Linked DNA regions of Anolis sagrei. The protein of the gene in region 3 interacts with the protein of the main gene of each other region in a biochemical or structural test. Links are inferred from orthologs where the notes say so. Each region holds a gene or a part of one and is shown on either strand. Other genes may lie near its edges.

Region 1 (7,930 bases), on a different chromosome or scaffold from region 3:
AGGTTACATCAAAATCCATAATTTTGGCCCCCAAACATTCCCGCCACATATTTATGCGGTCTTCTTACACATGAGTATGTATAAGTAAATAATATATTTTATATTCATCCTGTTGGGTTTTCTTGTAGGTTTGTATGTCACAGATATGTTATTGTAACATTAAGGATTGATCATTTCATCAAACTACATTATAACAAACAATATATTTTACAATAAGGGAACTGGAACTTATTTAGAGGAAGATTGCTACTGCTAGTAGTTTTTAATAGAGGCCATACCTTTCTTTATTTTGCCCTTTATTTTTGTGGATAATCTGGGGAAGCCATGAGTCAAAGGTCATAAAAGCACCCTTGTGGCGACACATGTTCCTAGTTCTATGTTTTCCCTACCCTTGCTTCATATCACTAGAAGTAGTCTGAATGTATTCAATTTCAAAACAACTCATCATTTGATTAAATTATTTGTTGCAAATGATGTACTGCTGTTGTAGTTTTATTGGCAGCTGTATTTTCACTGAACCAAGGTTGAATTAGCAATTGTTATCTTAAGGTCAAACTAGATCTTAAAGGGATGTGTATTCCATGTAATTAACTTATATTTTTCATCCACTAATGGGTTTTCTTAAAAAATACTTGTCTCCGCAATCAGATTTGCAAATTAACTCTACAGTAAGCAATCACAAAACAGCATGTTAAATGAAAAAAATGAAAATGAGGGAAAGCATGCAGTATGAAAAATATGTGTTTTCCACCACTTGAGAGACCATGTATTCTAATTAAATGCAATATTATCCTGTTTGACCATTAGTTTTTTAAATAGTTGCACATTTGGTTCATGTAAGTATGCTTTACTGTTCTCTGTTGACAGGGGTAAGTTTTAGAATGGATTCTGGCAGGAACAGGAGAGATTATCATGGAAATTGTATCCATGTAACCTAATCCTTGAAATAAAGCTACTACATCTGCATTGGATTAAATAATAATGATGTTGCATAGCATGATGCCGGGGTCATTTATTTAATCCTTGCTATATTACTTGCCTAGCTACATCATAAGTGAAAAACAGCATAGCACTTATAATAACCTCTGAGTTTAGAGTTTAATACATAAAAAGTCAACAAATAAATGCTAAAAATCCCACCATTGCTTGTAATAATTACTAGAGGGATCCTCCCTTCCCCTGATAATGAAACACTATGATCTCACCATCTGGCAACACAACATGTGACTGCATTGTAAGTTGACTACAGCAATGGGATTTAATGTAAATATATGTCCACGTATACTGGGGTGAGGATGGGGAAAATTACAGCAGAATTTTCTTTTAAAATGTTAAATTTTAAATCTATGCTGGATCTTAGGGTCTCATCACACTAGAGAAAAATCCACTTAAAATAAAGTTTCTACTTCCTGCAGAATTCTGGGATTTGTAGTTTAGGGAGGAGTCTTTAAACGACAAACCCCAGGATTCTGCAGGAGGCAGACACCAGTTTTTTTTCCTCTAGTGTTATGTTTCTAAAACATTTCTGTTTTTCTTTTGACAACTTCAAAACTACAGGCCATTTGGTGCCTTGTAAGTCTTTTTACAGGATAGATGTGGGAAAGTGGAAGACATATGGATAAGATTATTTTTGTGCAATTAAACTCCCACTGTCAAATTGAAGTTTAACATAAATGTCTTTACATGAGAACACTCTTCATAAACTGCATAAACTCTAGCCCTCATTTATTAAATTGGACAAAGTTAAATCAGAATTGTTCATTCAGTGGTACATCAACTAAACACATTTTCCTTTAAAACCACTGAAAATCAGAAATAAGGCCTCTTTGAGAATGTCACACCCTGACCTTCTAAATATTTCTGTGAAGTTTGGCATAGCTCATGACAGATTGTATTTCTGAATAATCACTCTAAATTCTAGAAAGCATTATTGCATTTTCTTTGAAGAAAACTTGAAAAAGCACTGAAATATTTACAATATTTATCTTTGATAATGTTAAATAGTTCGTTTTTCAAGCATTGAAAGAGTTAATGAGATCCTAAAATTACCTGAAAAGGAAACAGCAAAAAGTATAAAAGGACTAAAAGTACCTGCTAACAACAATAGGAATTTTAAAACAAAAGATATAAAATAACTATTGAATGGCTCATGAGTGAACTTACATAGTACATATGGTACTATTCGGATACAAATATTTGACAACATTTTTACAGGCATCTGCTCAAAAGTTCAATGCAAGCAATGAAGTTCTGGCAACTGCACCCATTTCTCTTAAAGAATCATCTTTCTATACTTTTAGTTTCAAAAGTTGCATAGTGAAGAAATCCATTCCACAAAACAACAGAATCAAACACATGCAAAAATATTATTTTTCAAATCCAGTTTCATCACTGAACAGATGTGTTAATTGCAAATATTGCATTTAGGGCTTTTGAGGAGTAGAAAATTACTTTTGGAGGATCTTGCTTTCTTACTCAAGACTTGGCTATTTATAATGAATGACCCATTCTAGAAGCCAACATGTTCAGCAAAGAAGTTCAGCAAAACATGTGGAGTGTTTAAAAACAAACTGCAAAGGCAAATGCACAAAAGAACTGTGTCCAGTTTGCAAATTGGCAGAGTTTTGACATGTTCCCATTACCTCTTTCCTCTGCTGCTTGATTGTTAGCATTAAAGCATGCAAGAACACTTACCTTTCTGACGTGAAGCGGTTGCCTTAATTCCCACAGCAGATCCAGTGAACGACTGGGTCGACCAATATATGCTATAAACAGTGTCAGAAGGTAACTGACTGCCAGATCCTCTGTGATACAAGGGCTGGGGGGGTGATCCTAGTCACGCTGTTTTCTGAAGCTGCTATGTCATCATAGTGGTGTGGTATGTAAAACTGCTGCTGTCTAATGAAATGCAGGTGGACCAAGGGAATGGTCAAGGACAACCCAGCTGTTTCTCCCTGTGAAACGGGAGAAAGATAACCCCTCCAAGAAACCAGAATAAATTCAGACTGTCTACCATAGTACAAACAACAGAAAGTTAAAGAAAGGAAATAGTTTTAAATAATGCACAAATTGCAAACAGATCTTGCATCCCCCCCCCCCCTCCAAACCACTTAATAGCTTTCAGGAAAGTGAACAAATAATTCTTGAACCTCAGTGTAGCCACAACTCTCAAGCCAACTGACTCACTGGCCATCTCATGTTTTTCTTTGTGTTAAGTTATGTACATAATAACTTAATAAAAGCCTCTGCAATGGAAAGTAACCTCAGATGGTGAACCACATACATTTTTTTCTTTTCACCATATTATATTGTAAAAATAATATCCCACACAGACAAGGAGAGAACAAATATGAAGTTTATGTTAAAACATGCCAATAATGGTACCTTTTCTTTTATAATTTAACATAAATGTTTGTACCACAAAGACGATGAATAGAAAAAATCCCACACATTCCCAAGAAAGAAATAAGCAGCTGGTAACTTTCTTGAAAGTACACTAGCACTGGTTGCTTAAAGGACTTTCAAATCTGGAACCAATCAACCAAATGTTGTCTGTTTCTCATTTCATGGATGCTCTTCAAGAATGCATCCTAAAGCATGGAAAAGAATGCTGTTGAAACACACTACTGCCAGAAATCATGTAATAAAAATAATAAGAAAAACATTATTGGCAAACTTGTAAGCATTCATTCTAGTTATACTATGTCTACAAAATGATCCCTGTGTCATGGGATCCAAAGTTCTTTTAAAAACCTATCTTCACACTTGTTAAGTGTTAGAATCATAGACACCTTAAAGGGCCAGACTCAAAAGTGGCTTCAAAACAGAATTTATTAAAACCAAAGAAAAAGGACGCAGAGATACTTAAATGCAGTGCCACTGGTCAAAACTCAGGAAACAAACCAGACCAGGTCCAAAAGGTTAACAGAAATATAATCCAGATGAATTGGATGCAAAAGGAACGAATCAGACTAAGCGCACTGAGGCAAAACCAAAAGGCACAGTACACAAATGGTTAACAAAAGGAGGGGCCACAGGAAGAGAAGCGTAGTCAGCGGGGGTCAAAGCGGGAGGAATCTGAAACAGCACTGCTCCAGTGTCCGCAGAAGCAGCGTCTTTAGCCAAACCGGTCCAGGAAGGGAGAAGTCCACATCCACGAGAAGACAATCCAGGTCAATAACACACAAACGATCAGGAGATCCAAACTGCAGATCCAACGCTGAACACGAAACAGGCAGCAACAAGTCTACAAGAATCTTTTCCATTACACAGCACCCAACACATGAACGCTCACCAACATCTTGCCTTCTTCAAGGACCCATCACCCCTGAACCCACTTTTATTTACAAATCAGCATCAGAAGACGAACTGACCATTGCCCTATCATTATCCTCCGCAGCTGCTCCCAGCTCTTCACGTGAAGTCCCTTGTCTTTCCCTCCAAGTCCTCCATCTCCTGTCAAGACTTAGATCCCCCCAAGACTCCGTTGGGTCCCCTGATTGCCAGTCTTCACCCCCAGGGAACCCCATAAAGGTATCACTAGTTGTTGGATCCTCACAAATAGCTTGCACTTCTCTTATCTTAGTCCAAGCCATGGTGTCTCCTTCTTCTCCTTCACTCATTGACTCATTATCCCCAGAGAATCCCTCAAACAACTACTCATCTGTAGGTGCTGTAAATATGTCCCGGATCCTCCTTCTCTGCTGCTCATCATCAGATTCCTGCTCCCGAGGAACCCCTCCCCCCCCCTCTGGACCCATCATCCCCAAAGAATCTGAAATGACTCCTTATCTGTAGGTGCTGCAAATATGTCCCGGATCCTCCTCCTCTGCTGCTCATCATCAGATTCCTGCTCCCGAGGAACCCTTTCCCCCCCTCTGGCACCCATACTACTGTTTGCAACGTTACTCACAGGCTCTACTACAACACTAAGTAACAGGGAGGAAGTGAAAAGAGGAGTCAGAGTGGTTAGGGTAATCTAGAAAGACCCCAACCCAGAAAATGTCCTTGATATGAGAAATTGGAAGTGGGAGAGGAAAGCCCTCTTTGAATTGGATCTGGCAAAATTGGACCACCATCACTCCTATGTTGTTGAGCCCCCACACGAATGATCACTCAATTGTGCTTGCTTTAATGGCACTTGTGTTGTAACCACCTTCTGTTGAAATATAATTATGCCAATGTCCTTTTGTTTTAATAAACTCTGTTTTGAAGCCACTTTTGAGTCTGGCCCTTTAAGGTGTCTGTGATTCCAACAGTATTATTATGTAAGTTTACACTGATCCTAAAATGCAATTTCAAATAAGGATTTGGCCCTATCTATACTGCATTATATGGCAGTGTAGATGGGGCCAACAAGTGAAAAACATCAGAGTCGATTACTTCCTCATTCGGACTCTGCTTACATAAGAAAAAATGAAAGTAAGGCCCTGAAATGCACCCACCTAGTGCTGCTTGCTCTTTCACAATATTACAACCTGGGAAGAACCTTACTGGAACTAAGGAGCCATTCTTTTGCTCAGAGTTGCACTGACTGCTTTTGCACAATTGTAACCATTCAAACTATTCTTCCTAGAATATCTGGGACCCCATCTATATTGATATATAATGCAGTTTGAAACTGCACTATATGGGCAGTGTAGTTACATAAGGCAGTTCAATGCAATCTATGCTGGCCTTATATGGCTTTATATGACAGTATAGATGGGGTCTATGATAGCCGTTAATACTACATCTATCTGTCTGTCTGTCTGTCTGTCTGTCTGTCTGTCTGTCTATCTATCTATCTATCTATCTATCTATCTATCTATCTAATAAAAGTCAGTGTTTGTATGTATGTATGCGGCGGACATAGGTGTATGTGGCAGCTTTCTGACTGGCTTCCACTGTGGTACAATTTGCATATGGTCTCTGATTGGCCAGCCAAAACATTCCAGCATTCTCAAGTGGCTGAGAGGGGAAAGGAAATTTGCATATGGTTTCTGATTGGCCAGCATCAACAGGAGCCCCTGGTGGCGCAGAGGGTTAAACCCCTGTGCTGGCAGGACTGAAGACCGACAGGTCGCAGGTTCAAATTCGGGGAGAGCGCCAGCACCTCATGTGGGGACATGAGAGAAGCCTCCCACAAGGATGGTAAAAGATCAAAACATCCTGGCGTCTCCTGGCCAAGGTCCTTGCAGACAGCCAATTCTCTCACACCAGAAACAACTTGCAGTTTCTCAAGTTGCTCCTGACACAACAAAACAAAACAAAACAAAACATTTTAACATTCTCAAGTGGATGAGAAGAGAAAGGAAAGGGCCCGAGGGATTTGCAGTACCTTCACTCACTCTACATCCCACTGCAGTTTGGAGGAGGATGGACCATGGATGATGGGACTTGCAGTACCATCACTCACTTTCTGAGACCGCTGTGATCTTCATCCAATGACTAATCAAGAGCAAACTTGGCACATAGACCTCTCATGACCCACTTTACGCCCTGGTGTGGTTTGGCCGAGGATGGACCATGGATGATGGGACTTGCAGTACCTTCGCTCCATTCCTGAGACCACTGCAAACCTCATCCAATTACCGATAAAGACCAAACTTGGCACACTGAGTCTCCATGACGCACTCTACATCCTGCTGCAGTTTGGAGGAGGATGCACCATGGACGATGGGACTTGCAATACCTGCACTCCATTCCTGAGACCATTACAACTGCCAACAATGCTGGATCAGGATCACAATTCACACAGAGAGCCCGCATGACCCACTCTACATCCTGGTACGGTTAGGAAGAATTTGGAGATGGATGATGGGACTTGCAGTAACTTCACACACTTCCTGAGACCACTGAAACCCTTGCCAATGACTGATCAAGACCAAACTTTATTTATTTTTATTTATTTACATTATTTCTATCCCGCCCATTTCAGCCTGAAGGCGACTCAGGGCGGTACCAGAATTCCCATGACCCACTCTACATTCTAGTGCACTTTCGAGGAGACAGACCATGGATAATGGGACTTCGAGTACCTCCACTCCCTTCCCAAGACTGCTGCAACCCTCATCTAATGACCGATCAAGACCAAACTTGGCACACAGAGTCCCCATGACCCACTCTACATCCCGGTGCTGTTTGGAGGAGGACGGATGATGGATGTTGGGACTTGCAGTATCTTCACTCACTTCCTGAAACCACAGCGACACTCATACAAAAACCAATAAAGACCAAACTTGGCACAGAGAGCCCCCATGGCCAACTCAACATTCTGGTGAGGTTTGGGGGAGAACAGACTATGGATGATGGGACTTCAACTACCTCCACTCACTTCCCAAGACTACTTCAACCCTCATCTAATGACCGATCAAGACCAAACTTGGCACACAAAGCCCCCATGACCCACTCTCCATCCTGGTGCAGTTTGGAGGAGGATGGACCGCAGATGATGGGACTCATAGTACCTTCACTAACTTCCTGAGACCACTGCGAGCCATATACATAACTTATAAAGACCAACCTTGATACACAATTCCTTTATCAAATAACCCGGGCAGCGCTGGTTCCCCAAGCAAGTATATAAATAATAATACATAAATTATTGTATTAAGTGAAGCCAAATCCTGAATCTATTTCTAAAAAACTTCTTTTATGAACTCTTTTTCACTTTTACAGCCAGAAGGTCACTCTAATTCATGTATCGGTTCCATGAAGCTCTATCTGCCTCCAATAGTTCATTTCTAATAACAAATCTCCAGCTTTTCCTTTGTGTGTGTGTGTGTGTGTGTGTGTTACATCCATGCTGTGCTCGTACTTCAAATGGAAAGTATTCAGACACATCAAGCAATTTGTGGTAATCCTGGATTTGTTTCTAATTCCTAAAAAGGAAGTGGCAGCTAAGGGTATTTGTGAAGCAGTAGTCCTGGTACAAGTTTAACTTTTTTTG
Region 2 (7,530 bases), on a different chromosome or scaffold from region 3:
CCCAGCCAATTAATGGGTTACTGTCTAAAAAGGAAAGTACCTGGAGGTTTGAGCGTATCTACAGGCCACACCTTCTAATGTGGAAGCCTTTTGAGATAACTCAGGAGCGTAGGGCAAGACACACATTCAGAGGAACCTTTTCCTTCAGGAGTATTGTTTTGCATATTCCAGAATAACATCCTGGCACTGAAAACCGTCCCTGTGGTTTTGGTGAGGTTTGCTAAAATTATTTCTTCACTGACTGGGCCACGTGATGAGATTCCAGACTAGAATCCACACTAAAATTAGTATGGTTAGCCTTTTGAAGAAAGTAGGTTTTTTTATTCCTCTGTTCCCATCATCAAGAAAGGATTTCAAAGCCAAATCCATTAGAATTCCCTCTCTGCTATTTCACTAAAAGAAATTACTTAGATGCAAAAGTAAGTCAGGGGTTCTCAAGGAATACATTCCTGACTTTCTGCAAATATTGTTACTTGGACTGTATGGTTGTTTCCTAGAGAGCCAAACCAAAGAACACTGTGGGCATAACTAAATGATTTTAATGCAACCTGGTCCTCTATATTTGTGAATGCACTGGAAGGCGAGGATGGGATATGCAACAGACCTAAGGCACCAAGAAGCAAGGACAAATTTCCAAAAGTAGAAGATGACAACCATTATGGGGGGAAAACAATTTCTCCTATGGAGGCGGGTAGCTTCTTTCTCTTGAGCCAGGAGCTTAAGGGACTGGGAAGGTATTTATATACAGTAAGCAGATGGAAATCTGGTTTCCGCTTTGTGGCGGTCCAAGCTTCCTTCTGTTCTGCCCTCTCCCTGCTGGTGCCATTCGGCAAGCTCTGCAGCCTTGTGTGCTTCCATGCCTCCTTCCATCTGTCCCCTTGGCTTCCTCCACTTCCTTGGGTCCTAGGTGAGGGTCCGGCCCAACACTGGAAGACTTGCATTTTGAAGTTTGCGCCAGTCAATGCATCCCTGCATGACTTCACAGCTGCCTCCAACATATTAACAGCAGCAGATCTGCCTTATCTCTTGGAAGCAGAAAAACCTGGACGTTCCACAGATACATTAACCCCACTTGCCTAGTTTCCAACAGACCTCACAACCCCTGAGGATGCTTGGCATAGATGCAGGTGAAACGTCAGGAGAGAATGCTTCAGAAACACAGTCATACAGCCTGTAAAACTCACAACCCAACAGAAAAACAGTTAGCACATGCTAAATCAAAGTAGAATTCTTGAGCAACCTGGTGTTCTAGACCTGTTGCCAACTGATATACAGGGGTGGTGATTTGACTGACTCCCCCCCCCCCACCACCCAAATAAAAGAAACCCACCCCTGTGGAGCCAAGCTGCCATTGAGAAAAGAGAAGCATTCCACCCTTAATGTATTGTTGAAGCATTTAATGGCTGGAATCACTGGGTTATTGTAGGTTTTTCAAGCTGTATGGCCATGTTCTAGAAGCATTCTCTCCTGACATTTCACCTGCATCTATGGCAGGCATCCTCAGAGGACAGGTCACAGGTTCGAATCTGGGGAGAGTGCGGATGAGCTCCCTCTGTCAGCTCTGGCTGCCATGTGGGGACATGAGAGAAGCCTCCCACAAGGATGCTAAAACATCAAAACATCTGGGCATCCCTTGGGCAACGTCCTTGCAGGTGGCTAATTCTCTCACACCAGAAGCAACTTGCAGTTTCTCAAGTCACTCCTGACACACACACACACAAAGAAAATCCTCAGAGGTTGTGAGGTCACTCAACCTCAACCTCCGAGGATGCCTGCCATAGATGCAGGCGAAACGTCAGGAGAGAATGCTTCTAGAACATGGCTATACAGCCCAAAAACCTACAACATCCCATTCCACCTTTAGTTCTCCGTCAGCGAAGATGGCTGTGCCCTTTCCTGTTTTTCCTGGGGAAGTTTCCTTTCCTCGCGGTTCCTCAAGACCGACGTCTGCTTCCCCCCAGCAGCCCCTGGCAAGCCTACATCTCGCAAGGAGGGAGCCTTGGCCAGAAAGGGAGGGGTTCGAGTTGGTGGTTGCATTGGGGGCTTTCAAACGAATTCCTGCGGATCAGGTCAGGGCGGGAGCAAGGAAGGAGGAAGGAAAGAGGAATGCCAGGGAGGAAAGAGCGGCACACGCGTGTTTTTCAAGGCGAGGGCGTGGGAGTGGTGGAAGTGGCCGAGGCAATGCCAGCCTCAAGAAGCCTGGCTGGGCCAAGAAACTCCAGGGCCCACGCTCCCCCTGTTCCCGCGGGGGAAGGGGTGGGGTTGGTGGGGGCTGATCTCCCAAATGGTGGGGGGGGGGGGAGCGAGAGAGAGAGAGAGAGAGAGAGCCAGGGCGCGGAGGGAGGGGATCCGTCCTTTCCTTACCTACATCTGCATTGCAAAACGCCTGTTGCGGGTGGACCGGGGAGCAGCTGCAGGCGTCGGCCAGGCGGTCCATCCTCCCCAGGAGCAGCAGGGCCAGCCAGGCCAGGAGGCTCCGCAGCCCAGCACTCATCTTGGCGGAAGGAAGGCAGGCAGAAGAGGGAGGGAAGGAAGGAAGGAAGAGGAAGGCAGGCAGGGAGGAAAAACGGAGGGAGGGACGGCGAGCTTGAGAGAGAGAGAGAGAGAGCAAACGGCGGGGCTGGAGAGAGAGGGAGAGGGAAAGGGCGCTGCTCAGGGCTTCTGCTGCCTCATCCAGGCACACACTCGCTCCCACTCGTGCTCCCCAAAGTTTGGCCTCTGCTTGGAGTGGAAGGCGCCAAGGAAGGGAGTCCTGCCGGCGGGAGACAGACGAGGAGCCACGCAGAATGTGGGAGCAGAAGCTCCGGCTCCTTCCCAGCCTCTGGTTCTGCTCCTGCTGCTTGCCTGCTTGCTTGCCTGCCTGCCTGCCTTCCTTCTATGGAGGTGTTTTCTTCGGCTAAGCCTGGCTTTTTAATGGGCTCTGGGGATCCGCTGCCCCTCCTCTCCGTGGCACGGGGCCAGAGCGGGCGGCTCGCCTGAGGATCCCGGCAGCGCGGCCTCTCCCTCGCTTTCCCTCCCTCCCTCTCTCTCTCTCTCTTGACTCCTCTCCCTCTCCCTCGCTTTGCCTCTGGCCCGGTTCTGCTGGCTGCTCTGCCGCCCTGCTTGACAGCGATGGCCAGCTATGACTCTTCTTATCATCGGCCAGGCGGAAGGAAGGAAGAGGGAAGGCGACACCTTGGGCTCTGCCACACCGTCGGATGCCTCCAGTCGGATGGACACCACTTGAACTATGCTCTAGAGCCCTGGGAGTTGGTTGGGGTTTTGCCAGGTCGGCAGCCTCCTCTGCCTCCCCAAGCCTCAGCACCTGCACTCTCCGGCAGAGATGGCTGCTAAAGACCTTGTAAAACTTCAACTCCCGGGATCACATAGCGTCGAGCCATGGCAGTTCAAACTCCCAAACGTATCCCCTTCTATGAAGCATCTTCAAAGTTAGGAGGCCCTGCTCTTGATCCCACTTCCTTCACAAGTGTGGTTGCAGGGAATGAAATACAGGGCCTTCTCAGTGGTGGCCCCTTGGCTATGGAACACTCTAGCAAAATCAGATCAGCTCCCTCCCTCCTGACCTTTAGGAAGAAATGTATTCATTTATTTATTTATTTCAAAGTTTTATATACCGAGCTTCTCACCTCATAAGAGGGACTCAGCCCGATTTCCAACCATAAAAACATATACAATCGGTAAAATATCAAAATAAACATTACAATAAAACATTTTAAAAAGCACATATATTTAAAACTACAGTGGTCAGCCGTCATACTAAAATCGAATATACACCGTCTTCCATCCAGATCATTGTCTCATTCTTCGAAAGCCTTTCTCCATAACCACGACTTCACCTGTTGAAAAACATGGCTATGGGACCAAGCCTTGGATTTGTAATGCAGTGCAATAAATGAAGTTGGAAAATGGACAATAATGGCCAGAACAGCTTCTCAAATATGATTCAGATTGTGTGATTTTAATAACTGGCATTAAGTTAAGGCTGCTCTGAGTCCCCTTCGGGGTGAGAAGGGCAGCGTATAAATACAGAAAATAAATAACTGCATTCATTCAGCAGTGTTAATGCACCCATAGCAGAGCATTCAAACCACCCCCCCCCCCAAAAACCCAAGTGTACAAGCACCCTAATAAATGTAACCAATTCAAAGCTCTTTTCAGTACCAGGATGGTGGGGACCCCCCCCCCCCCTTCACTGTGTCTGCATGAGCCTTCAAGTCACTTGTCAACTTACGCCAACTCCATGAATTTCACAGGGTGCCTTTCTTTGAAATGTAATGGTGGACAGGCTAAATCCAGTTGGGAGGGGCCAAATCTAATTCTTCACTAATTTGGACCTTTCCCCAAGGACAGTGCACTTCTCTACTCAGGTTGCAATGAAATGTCTTCCCAGGCTGCATACCAAAACACAGTTCCTTATTCTGCTCTAAATAGCCCCATAGCTCCAATTTCTGATCAGAGATCAAATAAGCCTTGTGATGCACCCAGTCTGTAGCCAGCCATTCCCCATATTGTTATTGAATGCCTTCAAGGTGACCCTGAATTATAGTAACCCTACTCTACGGTTTCCTTGGCATGATTTCTTCAGAGGAGGTTTACCCTCACATCTGTTAGGCTGAGAGAATAAGGCTCTCCCAAATAGTGGGTATGCACTATTCAGGGCTAAGCAGAGATTTGAATCCTAAGTTCACGGAGCACTACCATAGTCCCACACTAAAACCATGGTACCACACTAGTTTAAGAGGTCCATGCTCACTGCTTTAAATCTCTTTGTAATATCAATCAGCAAGCATAAATACTCTGAATATACCAAATCCAGGGTCAGCTCTAGTTAGTGCTTGGGTAGATATCAGGTACTCGAGGCTATATTTCAGAAGAAGTAATGGATGAACCCCACCCCACCCCCACCCCCTTTGTCCCCCTGGCCTAAGAAAAACCCATGAACTTCATGAAGTCACCAGCTATCAACAAGCAACCTGAAGTCACATAGCTAGAACCTAGACTATCACTTTGTCCTACTTCTCATTTAGAGAACCCCTGCCCCTGCCCCCATGAGCAAACATATGGGCCTCATCATGCTAGAGAGAAAAATCGACTTAAAATCCAGTTTCTGCCTCCTGCAGAATTCTGGGGTTTGTAGTTTTGGGAGGAGCTTTTAACAGCCTCACAAAAACCCCAGAAATCATTTTGATGTGATCATCCTGGAGAAAACAGAGGGAAAGTTGTAGACATGCCTTGCAAGTCATGCCAATATCTGCCATACCTTGTCTTTTCTGGGGATGTGGGAAATGGTTAATGGTAGGCTCTGAGTGTCTGGACTATATTCTAGAAAGGGACATAATCACTGAGGCTAAAGACATATCTTTCCAGACCACTGTTTGAATTTGCTTGGTAACTATGAGCGCTGAACAAAATGATTTATTTGTAGAGCTGCGGACCCCTCATTTCATCTCCCTCCTGGGAGACATTGCCAGGTATGAACTGACACCTGTACAAACCTATCAATGACTCATCAAGCCTGCATTCTTCATCTCAAGACTGTTTTGAAATATTTAAGACATAACTAAAACATCTAGTTAATTTTGGATAATACCCTCCACCAAATTGTAAAGCCAAAGCTGTGTTGTCAAAGGCTTTCATCACTGGGTTGCTGTGCATTTTCCGGGATGTATGGCCATGTTCCAGAAGCATTCCCTCCTGACATTTCACCCACATCTATGGCAGACATCCTTGGAGATGGAGGGGTCTGTTGGAAACTAGACAAGGGGGGTTTATATATCTATGGAATGTCAAAAAACAGATGAATTCCAGACAAGAATCAATCAGGGCCAGCTAACACCTCCAACCAAAGGATTCCCCCATGCAGCAATCAGCCAGGCTTTGAAGCTGAAAGGCCATTAAATGCTAATCAAGGTGGCCAACTGCAACATTCACACTTGCCTCAAGCACAGTTCTTTCTCTCACCCCGGACATTCCACAGACGTATAAACCTCACTTGCCTAGTTTCCAACAGACCTCACAACCTCTGAGGATGCCTGCCATAGTTTTGGGTGAAATGTCAGGAGAGAATGCTTCTGGAACATGGTCATACAGCCTGGAAAACTGACAACAACCCAATTCTGTAAAGCCTGAAGGTCTTCACTCCTATGGAATTATAGTTGATCACAAAACAGTTACTGACTGCCTGTGGGTTATGTTCTGGTAGAAAAAGAGACGTCTACATGTGTGCAAAGTCTCTCTCTTGTTATTATTACTTGGCAAGTTTTAAGGTCTGAGTTGTAGTACTTAAAACAGTTTCTGGGATTAAACACCAGCAAAATAAGTTGTGGAAATTATTTTGAGTGCTGCAGTTCAACTGTTAAAAGTTTTATGAGTTCCCACCCTTGTTGTGCCAGATGGAAAGTCATAGCAATAAAAACACTTTTTGGCTGTTGACCACAAGTTAGGAGATGGCCCAAAATTTTGCTCCAATAGGATTTGACTTTTCTCCTAGCCCTGATCAGAGCTGGGTCAAGTTATTTTTGAAATTACAATTCCAGAATGCCCCCCCCCCCCCCAATGGTCTTGCTAGCTGGGAGGGATTTGGGATGTTGTAGTAAAATAAAAATGCCTCTAGCCTGGGTATAGAGGTATCGTAACCTGCAGACCCCAGTATAGTTGATGGAAAGATGCTGAGAAGTGCACAACTTGTCTCTGTATCATCAAGAGACAATTGGCTCACATGTTGCATTTCAGTGTCTTCTTTCATAATCCTAGAGACCTTCGCTAGAGCTCCCTGTCAGACATCACCACCCCCAGCTCCTTCAAGGTCGAGCCAATCACTTTAAGGATAACATCCTTGCCCTTGGTCGGCCTCTCTTCCCTTTTACTTCCATTTTTCCCATTCTCATTATCCTCTCCTAGCTTTCCTGTCTTCTCATTATGTGGCCAAAGTACTTCATTTTGCCTCTAATACCCTTCCCTCCAGTGAGCAACTGGGCTATATTTACTAGAGTATGGATTGGTTTGATCTCCTCGCAGTCCAAGGCACTCTCAGAATTTTCCTCCAACACCACAGTTCAAAAGTGTCTATCTTCCTTTGCTCAGCCTTCCTTATAGTCCAGCTCTCTGCATTTTTCATATGCCCTGTGCTTCATCTCAGCCAGTGCTGCACTTTCCACCCAGAGTCAAATAGCACATTAAGGAGGTGTTCTCTGCAAACTATCTGAAGGGGCAAAATGCATTTTGGGTACTAAATTCTTCTTCTGTTTCTAGAGATCTTGCCACACTGCAGAATTATAGCAGTTTGACACCACTTTAACTGCCGTGACCCAATGTTATAGAATGCCGAGATTTGTAGGAGTTGCTGATGGGCTCCAAGAGTTCTGTTATGTTTCCTGTTTTTTAAAGTGTTTCAAAAGAATTGCCACATATATATATCCTGATTGTTATCGGTTATTCCCAAAAACCACTGTAGGCCTCATCTTGATTGAAACGATTTGTACTAGGCTCTTGATTATCATTTTCTGTTTGCATTCCCAATATGCCTCATAT
Region 3 (7,168 bases):
GATGGTGGTTGGACAATGTGGCCGGGCCAGCAGAGTTGATGGCGGAGTATCATCGCTTCAATGCTGGTGGTCTTTGCTTCTTCCAGCATGCTGACATTTGTCTGCTTGTCTTCTCAAGAGATTTGCAGGATTTTTTGGAGGCAGCGCTGATGGAATCATTCCAGGAGTTGCATGTGATATCTGTAGAGTGTCTACGTCTTGCAGGCATATAGCATGGTTGGGAGGACAATAGCTTTATAAACAAGCACCTTGGTATCTCTACGGATGTCCCGGTCCTCAAACACTCTGCTTCATTCAGAAAAATGCTGCTCTCGCAGAGCTCAGGCGGTGTTGTATTTCATTGTCAATGTTGACTTTTCTGCAGAGGTAGCTGCCAAGGTAGTGGAAATGGTCAACATTTTCTAATGTGACACCATTAAGCTGTATTTCTGGCATTGAAGAGGGAATGGGTGATGACTGCTGGAAGAGCACTCTGTTTTTCTCGATGTTCAATGACAGGCCGAGCTTCTCGTATGCTTCTGCAAAGGTGTTTAGAGGAGCTTGTAGGTTTTCCTCTGAATGTGCACAGATGACGTTGTCATCAGCATATTGGAGTTCTATAACAGATGTTGTTGTAACCTTGGTTTTGGCTTTCAGTCTGCTGAGGTTAAACAGCTTGCCATCTGTCCAATAGATGATTTTCACTACAGTGGGAAGCTTCCCATCAACAATATGAAGTATCATAGCAATGAAGATGAAAAATAAGGTTGGGGCAATAACACATCCCTGTTAGAACCTGATTCCACCTTAAATGGGTCACTTTGGGAGCCATTGCTGTCCAAGACTGTTGCCATCTTGTCATCATGTAGAATTAGTACAGTTTGATACCACTTTACCTGCCATGGGTCAATGGAATCATGGAAGTTGTAGTTTAGTGAGGCACCAACACTCTTTGGTCAAAAAACTTATTGACTTTGGAAAATTACAGCTTTCAGAATACCATAACATTGAGGCATTGTTGTTAAAGCGGCGTCAAACTGCATTAATTCTACAGTGTAGCTGCATCCCTAATGCTCTTCACCTGCTCAGGCCTTGGCAAGCATCCAACCTTGGCCAGCTAATGGCAAAAACCTTGCCAAAAATCAAAGCAATGAGGTCCCTTTGGAAGCGAAACCAGGACTGTTTAGGCTGAAATCCAATTTAAACAGCCTTATCAGGAAGGAAGTCTCTAATGAGTTTAGTGGGGCTTTAGGTTTTAGGCTTAGTGTACTGTGCGGATATTAGACGATTTCAATTGACTGTATGTCATTAGGTTTCTGGACCTAAATACCCTAAAGGCACCAGATCCTGTCTGATCTTGGAAGCGAAGCAGGGTCAGCTCGACTTTGTATTTGGATGGGAGATCTGCCAATGAACGCCAGGTGCTGGAGGCCATATTTCAAAGGAAGGAACTGGCAAGAAGTATTCCTAGCCCAAGAAAACCTTACAAAACTCATAGGGTTGCCATAAGTCTACAGGTGGCTCAAAGGCATATATATATATATATATATATATATATATATATATATATCTAGCTAATCAACTATGTATACATTTAGTGACATAGTTTCTCAGAGATGTTAAGATTCTGGCAAACCTAGAAGGCAAAGATGCTGTACAAAAGTGAAGCAACCGAATTTCTGTCTGAGACTTGTAGTTTCGGCACCATCTCTCTTTGATGGTCAGTGCCAAAGACCATATAAACTACAATTCCCATTATCCTACAGCATCCAGCCTCCTTTACCAAAGAGTGTGCTGGTGCCTCCCCAAGTTACAACTTGTAGGATTCCATAGCCTGGGGCTATAGCAGTTAAAGTGCTGTCAAACTGCATTAATTCGACAGTGTGGATGTGCCCTTGGAGCTTTTCTGATGTCAAATACCATCTGTGTATCATCTCTGAAAAATGTTGCATGTGGGGTCAAGGCATACTCCCCTCCCTCCCTTCCTTTATGCTTGCTTGCTTTTCCGCCTCTCTCCTCCCTTCCTTATTTCCTTCCTTCCTGGCTTTATTCTTTCTCTCCTTCTCTCTTCCTCCTCCCCTTCTTTCTCTTCCTATCTTCCTTCCTCCCTCTCCTTCATTCTGTTTCCAACCTTCCTTTTGTTTCTCCTTCTTTCTTAATTTCTTTTCTCCTTCCTCTTTCCTTCCTTCTGTCTTTCCTCCTTTGTCTTTCTTTCTTCTTCCTTCCTTGTTTCCTCCTTCCTCCCTTCTTTATTTTTCCATATTTTCTTCCTTCTTCCTTTCCTCCTTCCTCCCTTCTTTGTCTTTCCGTCTATCTTCTCCCCTTCCTATTTTTTTCTATTTTAGTTCCCTCCTCCCTTCTGTCTTTCCTCCTTCCTCTGTCCTTCCTTCTTTCTTTCCTCCCTTCCTTCTTTTACTTTCTATCTTCTTCCTTCCCTCCTTTCTATTTTCTTCCTTCCTTCCTTGTCTTTCCTTCTATCTTCTTTCCTTCCCTTATCCTTCTATTTTCTTTCCATCCTCCCTTCCTTGTCTTTCCTTCTATCTTCCATTCCCCTTCTTTCTCTTTTATTTATTTCCTTTTCTCCTTCCTCCGTTGTCTTTCCTTCCATCTTCCTTCTTTCCTGTCCTTCTATTTTGTTTCCATCCATCCTTCCTTCTTTCTTTTCACCTTCCTCCCTTCTTTGTCTTTCCTTTGATCTTCTTCCTTCCTTCCTTCTTTCCTCCCTCCCTTGTCTTTCTTCTATCTTCTTCCTTCCCCTTCTTTCTATTTTCTTTATTTCTTTCCTCCTTCCTCCCTTGTCTTTCCTTCTGTCTTCTTTCCTGTCCTTCTATTTTGTTTCCACCCTTCTTTCTTTTCTCCTTCCTCCTTTCTTTGTCTTTCCTTCTATCTTCTTCCTCCCTCCCTTCTTTCTTTCCTCTCCCTTCTTTGTCTTTCTTTCTTTTTCCTTCCCCCTTTTTCTATTTTCTTTCTTTCTATCTATCTTCCTTCCTTCCTTCCTTCCCCTTTCTTTCTATTATTTCTTTCCTTCCTTGTCTTTCCTTCTATCTTCTTTCCTGTCCTATTTTCTCTCTCTCCCTCTTTCCTTCTGTCTTGCTTTCCTCCTCCTTCCCTTCCTTGTCTTTTCTTCCCTTTCTTCTTTCTTCCCCCCTCTTTCCTTCGTCCCATCTTGTCTCCTTCCTTTTCTCTCCTTCTTTCCTGTCCTTCTATTTTCTTTCCATCCTTCTTTCTTTTCTCCTTCCTCCCTTCTTTGTCTTTCTTTCTATCTTCTTCTTCCTCCCTCCTTCTTTTTCTTTCTTTTTTCCTTCCCCCCTCTTTCTATTTTCTTTCTTTCGTTCTATCTTCCTTCCCCTTTCTTTCTATAATTTCTTTCCTTCCTTGTCTTTCCTTCTATCATCCTTCCTGTCCTATTTTCTCTCTCTCCCTTTTTCCTTCTGTCTTGTTTTCTTCTTCCCTTCCTTGTCTTTTCTTCGTTTTCTTCTTTCTTCCGCCCTCTTTCCTTCGTCCCATCTTGTCTTCTTTCTTTCTATCATTCTATTTTTCTTTCTTCCTTCCCCTTTCTTTCCATTTTATGTCTTTCCTTCTATCTTCCTTCCTGTCCTTCTATTTTCTCTCTCCCCCTCTTTCCTTCTGTCTTGCTTTCCTCCTTCTTCCCTTCCTTGTCTTTTCTTCCCTTTCTTCTTTCTTCCGCCCTCCCTCTTTCCTTCGTCCCATCTTGTCTCCTTCCTTTTCTCTCCTTCTTTCCTGTCCTTCTATTTTGTTTCCATCCTACTTTCATTTCTCCTTCCTCCCTTCTTTGGCTTTCTTTCTTTCTATCTTCTTCTTCCTCCCTCCCTCCTTCTTTTTCTTTCTTTTTTCCTCCCTCCCCTCTTTCTATTTTCTTTCTATCGTTCTATTTTAATTCCTTCCTTCCCCTTTCTTTCTATTTTATGTCTTTCCTTCTATCTTCCTTCCTGTCCTTCTCTTTTCTTTCCCTCCCTCTTTCCTTCTGTCCTGCTTTCCTCTTTCTTTCCTTCCTTGTCTTTTCTTCCCTTTCTTCTTTCTTCCCCCGTCTTTCCTTCGTCCCATCTTGTCTCCTTCCTTTCCTCCTCTCCCTCTCTCTCCTCCTTTCTGCCTCTCCCCCTTCCTTGCCCCCTCCTCTATCCCCTCCTCCTCCTCCTTCCGTTTTCCAGGAGGAGCTTGGCCCTTCCTCCCCTCCTTCTTGGGCTTTGGGCTCCTTCCTCTCCCCGCAGAACCTTCTCTCTAATTGGAGCCAGACCCCGCGCCCCACCACGTCTCCACTTCGCGAGGGAGAAGGAGAAGCGCCCGAGAGCCAGGAAGGGCCAGGCTGGGCCAGGGAAGGCAGACGACCCACCGCAGGCGCCCCCTCCTCGCGTGGCTCTCGCCCCCAAAGAAAGAAAGAGAGAGAGAAAGAAAGAAAGAGAGAGACCCCCGAAGCATGCCTCTTTGGCCGGCCCTCCTGCGCCTCTTGCCCCTGGCCCTGGCCCTGGGCGCCCTCTTGCCCCAAGGCTTCTCCTCCTCCTCCTCTTCCTCCCGCTTCAGCCCCGAGGTGAGTCCGGGCTCTGTGCCCCCAACCAGCCATTCCCACGCGAGATTTCCTTCCCCCCTCTTTGCCTCTTTCTCCTCTTGCTCCCAGGACCTGTTGCTCCCTTGCATCCCTTGCATCCCTCATCTGGTGGGACTTCTTCCAGGGGATCCTTCCCTTCTTCACTCCCAGCAAAGAAATGTGAGACTTTGGCACCCCTTCTCCTCTCACTCCTCCACTCCAAAACTTTTCCATTCCCTTCTTTCTTCTCCTCTCTAGCTCTCTCTGTGTTTTCCTCCCTTTTCTTCCAATCTCCCTCCCTTTCCTTCATTTCCATTGCCTTGTCCTCTGCCAGCAGGGCTTTCTCCTTCCCTTTTTCCATGCCTCTCTCTTTCTCTCTCCCTCAAATTGAGTTCCTTTCTTTGCTTTGCTTGTCTCCACTTGCCTGGTGCAGAGCTGGCTCCTTTCTATGCTTTGCTGCCTTCTTCCCTGCATTTAATCCAGTTGCTGCAAACTTGGCAACTTTTCCTTCTCTAATGGATCAAACCATTTTTTTGAATCTGTGTTGCTGTGAGTTTTCCAAACTGTATGGCCATCTTCCAGAAGCATTCTCTCCTGACATTTCGCCCACCTCTGTGGCAAAGTTGTTGAGGTCTGTTGGAAACTAGATTTTTTTTCATGTCTGGAGCAACTTGAGATAACAACAAGTCGCTTCTGGTGTGAGAGAATTGGCCGTCTGCAAGGACGTTGCCCAGGAGACATTGCCCGGATATTTTACTGTCCTATGAGAGGCTTCTCTCATGTCCCTGCATGAGAAGCTGGAGCTAACAGATGGGAGTTCAACTCGCTCCTCAGATTTGAAACTCTGGAGCAACTTGAGAAACTACAATTCGTTTCTGCTGTCAGAGAATTGGCTGTCTGCAAGGACGTTACCCAGGGGACATAGCCCAGATATTTTACCATCCTAAGGGAGGCTTCTGTCATGTCCCCACATGAGAAGCTGGAGCTTACAGGTGGGAGCTCACCTCGCTCCTCAGATTCAAAACTCTGGGGCAACTTGAGAAACTACAATTCGTTTCTGCTGTCAGAGAATTGGCTGTCTGCAAGGACGTTACCCAGGGGACATAGCCCAGATATTTTACCATCCTAAGGGAGGCTTCTGTCATGTCCCCACATGAGAAGCTGGAGCTTACAGGTGGGAGCTCACCTCGCTCCTCAGATTCAAAACTCTGGAGCAACTTGAGAAACTACAATTCGTTTCTGCTGTCAGAGAATTGGCTGTCTGCAAGGACGTTACCCAGGGGACATAGCGCAGATATTTTACCATCCCAAGGGAGGCTTCTCTCATGTCCCCACATGAGAAGCTGGAGCTGACAGGCAGGAGCTCACCCCACTCTCCAGATTCGAACCGCCAACTTTTCAGTCAGCAGTCCTGCCGGCACAAGAGTTTAACCCATTGCAGCACCCGGGACTCCTCGGCAAGTGAAAAGACATGAGACAATCAGGGCCAGTTAGTACCTCCCAGGGGACATTGCCTGGATATTTTACTATCCTGTAGGAGGCTTCTCTCATGTCCCCACATGAGAAGCTGGAGTTGACATGTGGGAGCTCACCCCGCTCCTCAGATTCGAACCGCTAACCATTTGGTCAACAGTCCTGCCGGCACAAAGGTTTAATCAGTTGCACTACCGGGGACTCCTCTGTGAGTGAAAAGACATGAGACAATCAGGACCAGCTAATGCCTCTCAACAAAGGATTTCTCCAGGCAGGAATCAGCCAGGCTTTGAAGCTGTAAGGCTTTTCAATGCAAATCAAGGTGATTAATTGAAACATTCACACATACCTCCAGCAGACAAAAGAGTATTTTACTCCCACTCAGGACCTTCTACAGATATATAAACCTTACTTGCCTAGTTTCCAGCAGACCTCAGCAACCTCTGAGGATGCCTGCCATAGATGTGGGTGAAACATCAGGAGAGAATGCTTCTGGAACATGGCTATACAGCCTGGAAAACTTTCAGCAACCCAGTGATTCCAGTCATGAAAGACTTTGACAACACTATTGTTGATCCATCAGGTGCCATCTTATCCTAACCTTTTGCTTTTTATTTCTCTTTAGTCCAGACATGGGCAAACTTCAGCCCTCCAGGTGAAGTTTGGACTCCAATTCCCACAATTCCTAACAGCCAGGAGACTTCAGCTCCTGGCTGTTAGGAATTGTGGTAATTCGCGTCCAAAACACCTGGAGGGCCAAAGTTTGCTCATGCCTGCTTTAGTCTCGTCACTTTCCATATCTCATATTTTCCTCCAAATTGAACCCTCTCATCCTTACTTCCTATATTCTATCTTCTCAAGATCTTGATGGTATATCTGTCTGTAGATGTAGTCTTTCTTCCCTCCTTCTTTCCTAACTTAATCCATTTTCATATTGGTGTGAAGGCTTTCATGGTTGGAATCACTGCATTGCTGTGAATTTTCCGGGCTGTATGGCCATGTTCCAGAAGCATTCTCTCCTGATGTTTCGCCCACATCTATGGCAAGCATCCTCAGAGTTTGTGAGGTTTGTTGGGATCTAGGCAAATGAGGTTTATACATCCGTGGAATAATGTCCAGGGTGGGAGAAAGAACTCTTGCCTGCTTGAGGCAAGTGTGAATGTTGCAATTGGC

The links.
Region 1: the proteins of MMP14 (region 3) and LUM interact in a biophysical measurement, tested with the Homo sapiens proteins (2 studies listed by BioGRID and IntAct, with this or other methods). The link is inferred for Anolis sagrei from reciprocal best matches to the Homo sapiens genes MMP14 and LUM.
Region 2: the proteins of MMP14 (region 3) and TIMP2 form a complex in vitro, tested with the Homo sapiens proteins (2 studies listed by BioGRID). The link is inferred for Anolis sagrei from reciprocal best matches to the Homo sapiens genes MMP14 and TIMP2.

Annotation. Positions count from the first base shown.
Region 1 is NC_090025.1:153,688,367-153,696,296, forward strand, and holds the start of LUM (lumican), read right to left. Parts: upstream 3,015-7,930; 5' UTR 2,695-3,014; intron 1-2,694.
Region 2 is NC_090022.1:128,960,126-128,967,655, forward strand, and holds the start of TIMP2 (metalloproteinase inhibitor 2), read right to left. Parts: upstream 3,015-7,530; 5' UTR 2,495-3,014; coding exon 2,365-2,494; intron 1-2,364. UniProt on the Homo sapiens protein: Complexes with metalloproteinases (such as collagenases) and irreversibly inactivates them by binding to their catalytic zinc cofactor. Known to act on MMP-1, MMP-2, MMP-3, MMP-7, MMP-8, MMP-9, MMP-10, MMP-13, MMP-14, MMP-15, MMP-16 and MMP-19.
Region 3 is NC_090026.1:9,641,072-9,648,239, forward strand, and holds the start of MMP14 (matrix metalloproteinase-14), read left to right. Parts: upstream 1-4,151; 5' UTR 4,152-4,414; coding exon 4,415-4,525; intron 4,526-7,168.